2 linked regions of the Schizosaccharomyces pombe genome follow. The protein of the gene in region 2 interacts with the protein of the main gene of each other region in a pairwise test. Each region holds a gene or a part of one and is shown on either strand. Other genes may lie near its edges. The genes, in order: SPOM_SPAC4F10.17 and pil1.

Region 1 (3,439 bases), on a different chromosome or scaffold from region 2:
CCGTATGAAGTATACAGCGGTTTTATTCTTTCCAACACGTTCCCCAAGCCAATTACATAAACCGTGACACAGGCTTGTGAATAGTGTGGATAAAAACGAATGTAAAGCATTGTAAACGACAAATGGGGTTTTTTATAGCATAATGATCATTTTAGCAGTCACATCTTCTCGTATAAACCAGATTTTGTGGAGGGAGTAAATGCAGTAAATATTGAAAATTTGAAAAAACCTTCGGAAATCTTAGCTTGGGCATTTCATTCTGAGCCGAAATCTTGGCAACTTCAAAAACCCAAGGGCTATGGCTATTCTTGCTTCAAGACTAGTAAAATATAATACAATCGAGTACTATCATGTTGGTGAATGATATTATGTTATTGACTGTAGAGCGTATATAACATGAGAATGTCACTGTACAATAACGGAATTTATTTACTTTAAAAATGTTGGCAAGTTGCAATACAAATTTGAAATTATTGCTTTGAACAGCCTTTGGGATTTATCGCTATGCTTACAACGAGCGGCATTGAATTTACTGGAGTAGAATGGCATGAATGTGTTTGACCAAAATGAGTATTATTACCATTATCCATTACAATGCCTTTATACAACTATCCGGCCTATAGAATAACAAAATTTAAATTTGACCATAGTAGCTGTTGACAGCATGTGGGCCATAAAGTTTTTACATACAGTCAAGTCCATACTAAGGCTAGCATCGGCAATGCAAAATATGCAGTATCACTGCCACGAATACCAGACTATACAACCGGAATATAATTAACACATCTCGCGATAATCTCATTCTTATTTAAATCATGAAATTTTTTTTTTTTGCTATCATCAAAAATTGAATTTATTTTGTAAATAAAAGCCAGGAACCGTTGAACTATGATTTTTAGTTTATTAACAATCTTCTAGCTTCGTTTTGTAAATCATGCATTGTTCGTTCATATAAATCCAAAAAGAAAGCGATGTTTTCAAACGTGAAGCATCTTTAAAATCATAAAGAGCATCAAGGAGCTTGTATACAAGCTTCCACTCAATACATTAACTCGATTCATTTACAAGGAATCCTCTTTATTCCTTTTTAACACCACCATCACGATTCATCCCCTCACGACGAGTTTCTTCGAGTACGTTTTCCGACCGTTGGCTAAATTCCTCTTTTATTTTCTTACCAGCATCTTTCGCCTTTTGCTGATAGTCGGTATCTTTTGCATCCTTGGCAGTTTGCTTTACCGATTGCTTTGCATTCTCAGCCATTTCCTGTGGTGACTTATCTTTGTTTTCATCTATCTTTTTCGAAGCCTTACCAGTTGCTTTTTTGACAGTTTGACTGATTTTCTCAGGTGCTTCTTCCAGTGTTTCTTTTATATATTGACGAATTGTTGTATTAGCAGGATTGGTTGCCTTCCAAGCGAAAGCAATTCTTGCAGCACGAAACGCCATGTTAACAATATGAAGATAAAAAAAATAAAGCAAAAAATATAAAATTTGTGTAAGTTTTAGTTACCAACGCTAGTGGGTATGAACTAAAACGTTATACTTTATCTGTTTATGGTGCCTTAGCAATTTTCCAATTCTGTTTTCTTTTTCAAGACGAAAAAAATTAAACAACAATAAATATGCTTTATTTGTTGTTATTGAGAAATCGTTTATTTACTTTACCCATACCCTTTGCACTGTATATATAGTACACCCCAGCACTTAAGGATTACATCAATACACATCATCTTGCCATACCCATTTTGCCTCCTCAAAGGACTTTCTCTACGCCGAATTTTGAGCTTAATTGAACTAATTCTGTACGTAAGCGATATCAATTCTGTTTATTTCCCAGTTGTGTCATTGGTATCGTCGAACGTTGCAGTCGTTCGTAATTCTGCAACTGATTGGGAAGAATTTGAGGAATTGTAGATCCCTTTGATGCCTAGCCTAATCAATTTTGATGCTATTAGTTCATTGAAATCCTCTTTGCATGGCTTATCCATATGTGCTTTTAATCATCTACACCATGTACCTCAGCACAATGGCTCATTAGCTCATGAGGGACCTACAAACCAAACTGATTATTCTTCTCGTCATCACGAAAGCCAGTTTTCACAAGAAGCACATGCGGAACAACGTTCGAGGGATGATGAGGAAGCTAACTCTTTTGAAGGTTCGTGTAACAACTCAGATCAGTCATGGACTAGCCGTGTTACATCAAAGAAGAATGAAGCTGGGACCGAAAGTGGAGATGCTTCTGTTCGCAGAATTTACGTAACTAGCATTCCAGAAGAACACAGGCATTTACCATCGCAATGGTTTCCTAGTAATAAAATTCGCACAACCAAGTATACTCCAGTTTCGTTTATCCCCAAAAATCTTTGGAATCAATTTAAAAACATAGCAAATGCTTTTTTTTTGTTTGTCACTCTTCTTCAATGTATTCCGTTGTTTTGTCCCGAGCACCTGGGCTTATCGTTTATTCCTTTGAGTGTTATTTTGCTTACTACAGCTATTAAGGATGGAATTGAGGATTATCGGAGATGTGTTCTTGATAAGAAGTTTAATAATACCTTAACTTGGAAATTGGTAGGGTTCAATAATGCCAATGCATTAGGCGAGCATATTGGATTATGGAGAAAATTAAAAAAATTTATTTCTCATACCGTCGCCGATATGTCCTATTGCCTTAAAAATTCCGGTATCTCATCTGGGCTCGCTACCTTAACCGTGGATAATATATCCCACAGGCACAGTCTCGAATCCGACTCTGCCTTTACTTTATCATCTGTTTCACAAGATAGTCTTGAGATTCATGAGATTGGTAACAGTGGTCCTTCCAACAGCTTTTCTGTCATCCAGGAACAATCAACAGGCTCATCGAATGCCAAATTTGAGCGTGTGTGTAGGAAAAGTTTGCTTGTGGGCGATATCGTTAAGGTTTTGGCTGATGAAGCGATTCCTGCTGACTTGCTCATCTTAAGCACAGAAAACTCAAACGGTGTTTGCTATGTGGAAACAAAAAACCTTGATGGTGAAACTAATTTGAAAGATAAATACGCATTATGCTCAACAAAATGCTGTAAATCAGAGTATAGGTGTAGTGCGGCATCTTTTTGGGTTGAATGTGAACAGCCTCATGCTGATCTGTACAGTTTGAACGGTGTCGTCAAAGCACCCGGCGCTGTGCAATCACCGTCTGAGAGTACAAACGGAAGAAAAATACATGAAGAACCTTTTAGTATTTCTAACGTTCTACTGTGTGGGTGTACTCTGAGAAATTCAAAATGGGTTATTGGTCTTGTTTTATATACAGGATCAGAAACTCGCATACAGAAAAATCGAGGGTTAACTCCTTCTAAACGAAGTCGCATTACTCGTGACTTGAATTGGACAATAATTCTCAATTTTCTATTATTGTTTGCTATGTGTTTATTTTCTGGTGTGTTAC
Region 2 (5,318 bases):
AGGCGTTAATAATTTACCTTGTTTTCTCTTTTTTCGACATTGACTCCTCTTCTAAAGTATTCGCTTATTACTCCTAATTCTGCTCCTCCTAATACATCGATTCCTACTACTTGCATTGCTAATTCTAATAATTACTTCTTAATAATAATAACATACTAACTAACTTCCAACTCATAATACACTTTACTATTCTACCCTTGCAATTTACCCATCTCGCCTTCCATCTTTTCTCAATCATATTATGGTTTCTTATTCTCAAGATTAATCAAATCTACCTACCTCAAAAAGAAAAAAAAAGGCTCTTTGCAACGAAGTACATCATCCTTCACGTGCAAAAGACTAGCCAAGCTGGCACAAATATCCATCATACTACCAACAAAATAATAGCTACGCTAAACCCACTAAAAGCAAAACACACTTTCTTCAAATTCCCCCTCTCACACCACCAGCCAGCCAAGCCAAGCCAGTCTAGAGTCTTTTTCTTCCTCCGATAGCAATAGCAGCAACATATAAAAACAAATAAAATAATAATTATAATAAAAGGTATAATAATAAAATAATTGCGACATCTCCGCCTTATAATAACTATGTAAAAATTGAACAGTTTCTTAGCTATGAGCAAACTAGGGTTTCCGTCTAACATGCTCTCCTTCGCGCACGCCAGCTTATTAAATTAAGTTTTCTTTCAGCTCATACCTGTCACTGACGAAAAAAATAAACCAATCAAACTCTCGGTCGATTGAATTCTCAAAGCAACATATATCCACGATTGTAATAAAATAAAATAAAAGGAAAAAGGGGAGAAAAAAAGACAGTTTAAAAAATTTTTTTTCCATGGATAACAAAAACACAACCAACAAATATTGAAAACTTTTGACGTTTTTTTAACCCCTTTCATTCAATCAAACAAATCTTTCTCTATTCCGTCCACAAAGGGAATATAGATAGATAGATAGATAGATACCACCACACCTTCAACAAACTTTTATCCGTCCGCATCATTTTTTCATAACTCTTTATAAAAAACGAGAGGTGTGGAATTTGCAATGCCTTTAGCCTGTCTTTTTTTTTAAACGCCAATTTCGTCGAAGCAATTCAATCATACACCACCTTCCTTCTTCCTTCTATGACAAAAGAAAAGAGAGAAAGGAACCAGATGACACATACAATTATTCTTTAATAAAGAAAATAAATTATGACCAAACAAGGACCTGGGGAAAAGAGTAGTAAAAAAGAGTCGACAAACGAAGGAAGAATATCATAAACCCATTATCGTTTGTCAGTAACGATTGTTTCTGGGATCATCAATCCATCCAAAAAGGAAAAAGTCACGAAAAAGCCCAAATGGGATTACGATAAGCTTTCAAGAAATTTCTTTTTTATTTTCGCTTGACACTGCAATTTCCCTCTCCACGACGACAAATAGAAAAAAAGTAAAGAGTTTTTTTAAGCAACCTGGACGGCGGTTTGCTGAGGAACGGCATCGCTAGACTCAGAAGCAATGCGAGACATACGCTCAGCATGGACATGAGGGTGCATGCCAGGCTCGTTCTCAATGATCTCGCTAGTGTCGGATTGAACGTCGTCTTGTAAGTGGGTGACTTGCTCAACGGGGACGGGCTCACCTTGAGCCTCATACTCGTTCCAGGAACGAGCGTCACTTTGGGCATCATCCTCGATTTGAGGCTTGACAAAGTTGACGGCGGGTTGGCTGGGAACCCAAGAGCTCAAGGCGTGCTCAGCATCCATGACGATTTGGCGGGAAGTCTCATAACCATCGTAGGCAGGACGAGCCTCACCGGGAGTGACGGGGGTGTCGTCAATCAAGTTCAACAAATGTCTGCCATAGGTGGCAATGAGGTTGAGCTTCTCGGCATGCTCGTGGAGGGCATCCAAGTTGAAGGTCATGGCTTGCTTGAACTTTTCACGGGTGGTGTTGGAAAGTTGAGCCTCGGCAACCAAACAGGCAGCCTCCTCACGAACAAGCTCTTGCTCCATGGTGACCAAGCGAGGGGATTCAGGATCCTTATGCTTAAGAGCATAGATTTGATCCAAGAGCTTTTGCTTCTTCTCACGAGAGGGTTGGACAGAGGACTCGATGTTACGGATGGACTTCAACGTCATACGGTATTGGTCATAACGATCGATCAAGTAGTTCTCCAACTCGGCCATCTCGTAAAACAAGACACCCAATTTGTCGGTGACGTCGCTGATATCGTCATCGCAGTCCTCACCCCAGTAGGAAAGTTGGCGAGCACAATCACGACGGCCACGGATGGTGACCTCCATACTGCGCATCACGTTCTTTTCCATCTTGACCAAGACAGCCAAACGCTTAGCCAAGTCAGGGGTGAAGGTGGCAGCGTGGTTGATACGCATGGTATGACTCAAGGGGGCAAACAAACGACCACTACGAGTGGAAGAGGAGGGAGGAGGGGGGTTTAACAATTGTGAGGCCGTAGGGGCACGGCTGTTTCTTAAAGAGTACGCACGGTTCATCATCTTGCAGAAATAGAAATAGATGTGGGTAAATAAGAAGAGATGGTAGTAATAATAAAAATAAGTGGTAGTAGTAGTAGTATATTAGTATGTGATGATACTAATAAGAACAATTATAGTGAGAATAATTTAGTAGAGAGAGGACGAGTTATAAGTAAAAAAAAAAGAGTAGGACGAAAAATGTTTAACACTTTACCAAAGGGCGATACGAAATTTCGTGGGTATATAGTTAAATAGGATAGATAGTTAGATAGAGAGAGTGTGTATAAAAAAAGCCCAAAAATAAAAAAATTTGTCGACTATATGAAAAAATGGAAAGGAGTCGGGATTTTTTTTTGGGGAAAGGGAAAAACGAGGAAATTTTCCTTTTGGATTTCTTTCAAATTCACTTAGCTTAGCTTAACTTTTGCTTAGCGGCTATTCTCTGGGTATAACAAAAATGTGATGGGGTATATATAAAAAAAAAAAAGATTATATATATATATATATCCCAAGGTATGTTATATCCTATGGTATGAGAAAGGATACTATAATAAAGTATAGTATAGTTAAAGGATAAAAAAGAAAAGAAAGTTTTGACTAAAGTCAATGAAAACGTGAGTATGGATAAAGGTGTATCGGTAAATGAGCGAGCCAGTCTATATATACAAAGCTAAGGTGGGAAAATGATATCATCACTTGCCGTAGTGAACAAGAGTAGGTAAACATCATTTGGTCAGCTTGCTGGCCACAGTTGCCATAGATATGTCCATTCCTTCTATCACGTAAACATGACGTTCCCATTCGCGATAATATAAAACCGAATTTCTTTCTGGATAGCGATGTTGACCAATGCGTTTGGCGCACCGCGTTAACTGGAGCTGAAGGGGGAGGGGAGGGGGGCAGCGAGTGTTGAAGGGCCGATGGGGTAAACAAACGCGTCGTCGTTGTGAAAGAAAGAAAGAGAGTGAAAAGAATGAATAGGCCGGGGAGTGGTAGGATGTGGTAAAGAGAGAAGAGGGAGAAGTGACGATGGGTGTGTTGAAGAAGGATAGAGCAGAGGAAGGCAAAGTGGGTAAAAAGGAAATAGAGTAGAGAAATGAATAGAGATAGAGGGGATAAAACGGAGGAGGATAGGACAGAGGAGAATGGGATAGGATAGGATAGTGTAGAGGAGGATGGAGTAGCTTAGGATAGAATAGTGTAGTGTAAAGTAGAGTAGAGTAGAGTAGAGAAGAGAAAGAAAGGTAAGAGAGAGAGAGAGAGAGACAAGAGAAAAAACAAAAGATAAATGGACCGATAAAGATAAATATAGAAAGAAAGATAATATAAATGGATAAATATGGATGAAACAAAAATAAAAAAAAAGGTTAAAACAAAAGAGAATAGAATAGAGAAAAGGTAAAAGTTAGAGGCAACAAGGGTAGGTAACAAGGAACGAGGTGACAAGAAATGGAAAAGTGAGAGAGAGAAAAGAAGTAGCGAAAGAGAGTGAGTGATATTGTGAAGAAGTGAGTTGTGAGTGAAACGGGATATGAGTGTAGTAAGAATGAAGAAAAGAAAGATGAAATGAGTTCAGAAGAAATTAGATGAATTCAGAAGAAATGATTGTAAACGAGTTTAAGAAAATGCCGACGCTGACTATGAATGAGTATTAGATACTTGCAACAATTTTATCAGTTTATTCGGAAGATGAAGAGGATCGAGTGAATACGGAAATATCTATCTTTGGCAATACGGGAATGGAGCACCAAATGGAACACGGGAGTGTAACGGGCATGGCATGGCATAGCATAGCATAACATTGCATGGCACATGGCATGGCGATGTACTGATAATAGCTAGAAATGCTAGAGTAGCGACGAGAAGAGAGAAAAAAGAGCGACAAAAGGAAATAAAATAAAACGAAAGAAAATAAATAAACAAAAGAATACTCGAAATAAAATAAAACGAAATAAAATAAAATTAAACGAAATAAACAAAAGAATACCTCTATTATTTCCCTACTATTTTCCTACTAGTTCCCTTCTACTTTCACTTCCTTTTTCATGGCTCTTCTTCTCTCTCCTGCTCCTCCGACCGTCCGTACTTCTCTCCCTCTCTCAAATCTCTCTTCCCGACATATGGGAAATCTTCTTTTCCCTCCTCGCTGCCTTACTGTACTAGACTCCTGCTCTGCCGCCGCTGCCTTGCTTCCCTCCTTTCCCTACGGTGCGCGCGCACGATAACCAAACGCCGCAAGAAGCGATCGTCTATTGGATAAAGTTAGTGTCTCATATAGCCGAGGTATGGGAAAGGTGCGCAAAGGCAGTGCGCAGCAGGACAGACAGTTAAGAGGGTGCCAAGCAGTGCAGTAGAGTGCAATGTAGTACAGTAAGCTACCACGTAAATGTAGCAGAATGCAAGGCATTTCAGTAGGTGCAATGTAATGCACTATTTTACAATGTAATGCATTATTTTACAACGTAATACACTAACTAACAATGTAATACAGTACGTTCGCTTTCGCAAAGTAATACACCGTTTTGTTATCACCTCGTAGTTTTTATTTGCCCATCTTGCAAGGAACGAATTGCTGCGCTGCTTTAAAATGCATAGTGCAATACCTTATAACGTGCTGTATAACCTTATGCATCGTTTATCTATCAGTGGAAAAGCTCTTTCGTACTTTGCATTTAACGTGGAAACCTACAAACTCGTTCCTACTTATTCCATACTACGCCAAACTACACTGTACCCCCGTTGTTCGCTAATCCTAGGATCAAGCCTAAAGCTAGTGGTATTTGTTTGGCAATGCGCACAGGGGACGCGCTTTGTTGAATTGGCAAATGGAGCGCAGA

What was found.
Region 1: the proteins of pil1 (region 2) and SPOM_SPAC4F10.17 interact in a two-hybrid assay, tested with the Schizosaccharomyces pombe proteins (one large-scale study listed by BioGRID).

The regions. Positions count from the first base shown.
Region 1 is NC_003424.3:4,866,598-4,870,036, reverse strand, and holds SPOM_SPAC4F10.17 (uncharacterized protein), read right to left. Parts: upstream 1,662-3,439; 5' UTR 1,450-1,661; coding exon 1,078-1,449; 3' UTR 754-1,077; downstream 1-753. Other genes in the region: SPOM_SPAC4F10.16C (P-type ATPase), read left to right, coding at 1,927-3,439.
Region 2 is NC_003421.2:346,356-351,673, reverse strand, and holds pil1 (lipid binding protein Pil1), read right to left. Parts: upstream 3,116-5,318; 5' UTR 2,503-3,115; coding exon 1,447-2,502; 3' UTR 509-1,446; downstream 1-508. UniProt on the Schizosaccharomyces pombe protein: Negative regulator of cell wall integrity (CWI) in unstressed cells, probably by inhibiting protein kinase ksg1/ppk21 activity and regulating their downstream CWI pathways pck2-MAP kinase pathway and protein kinase gad8 pathway.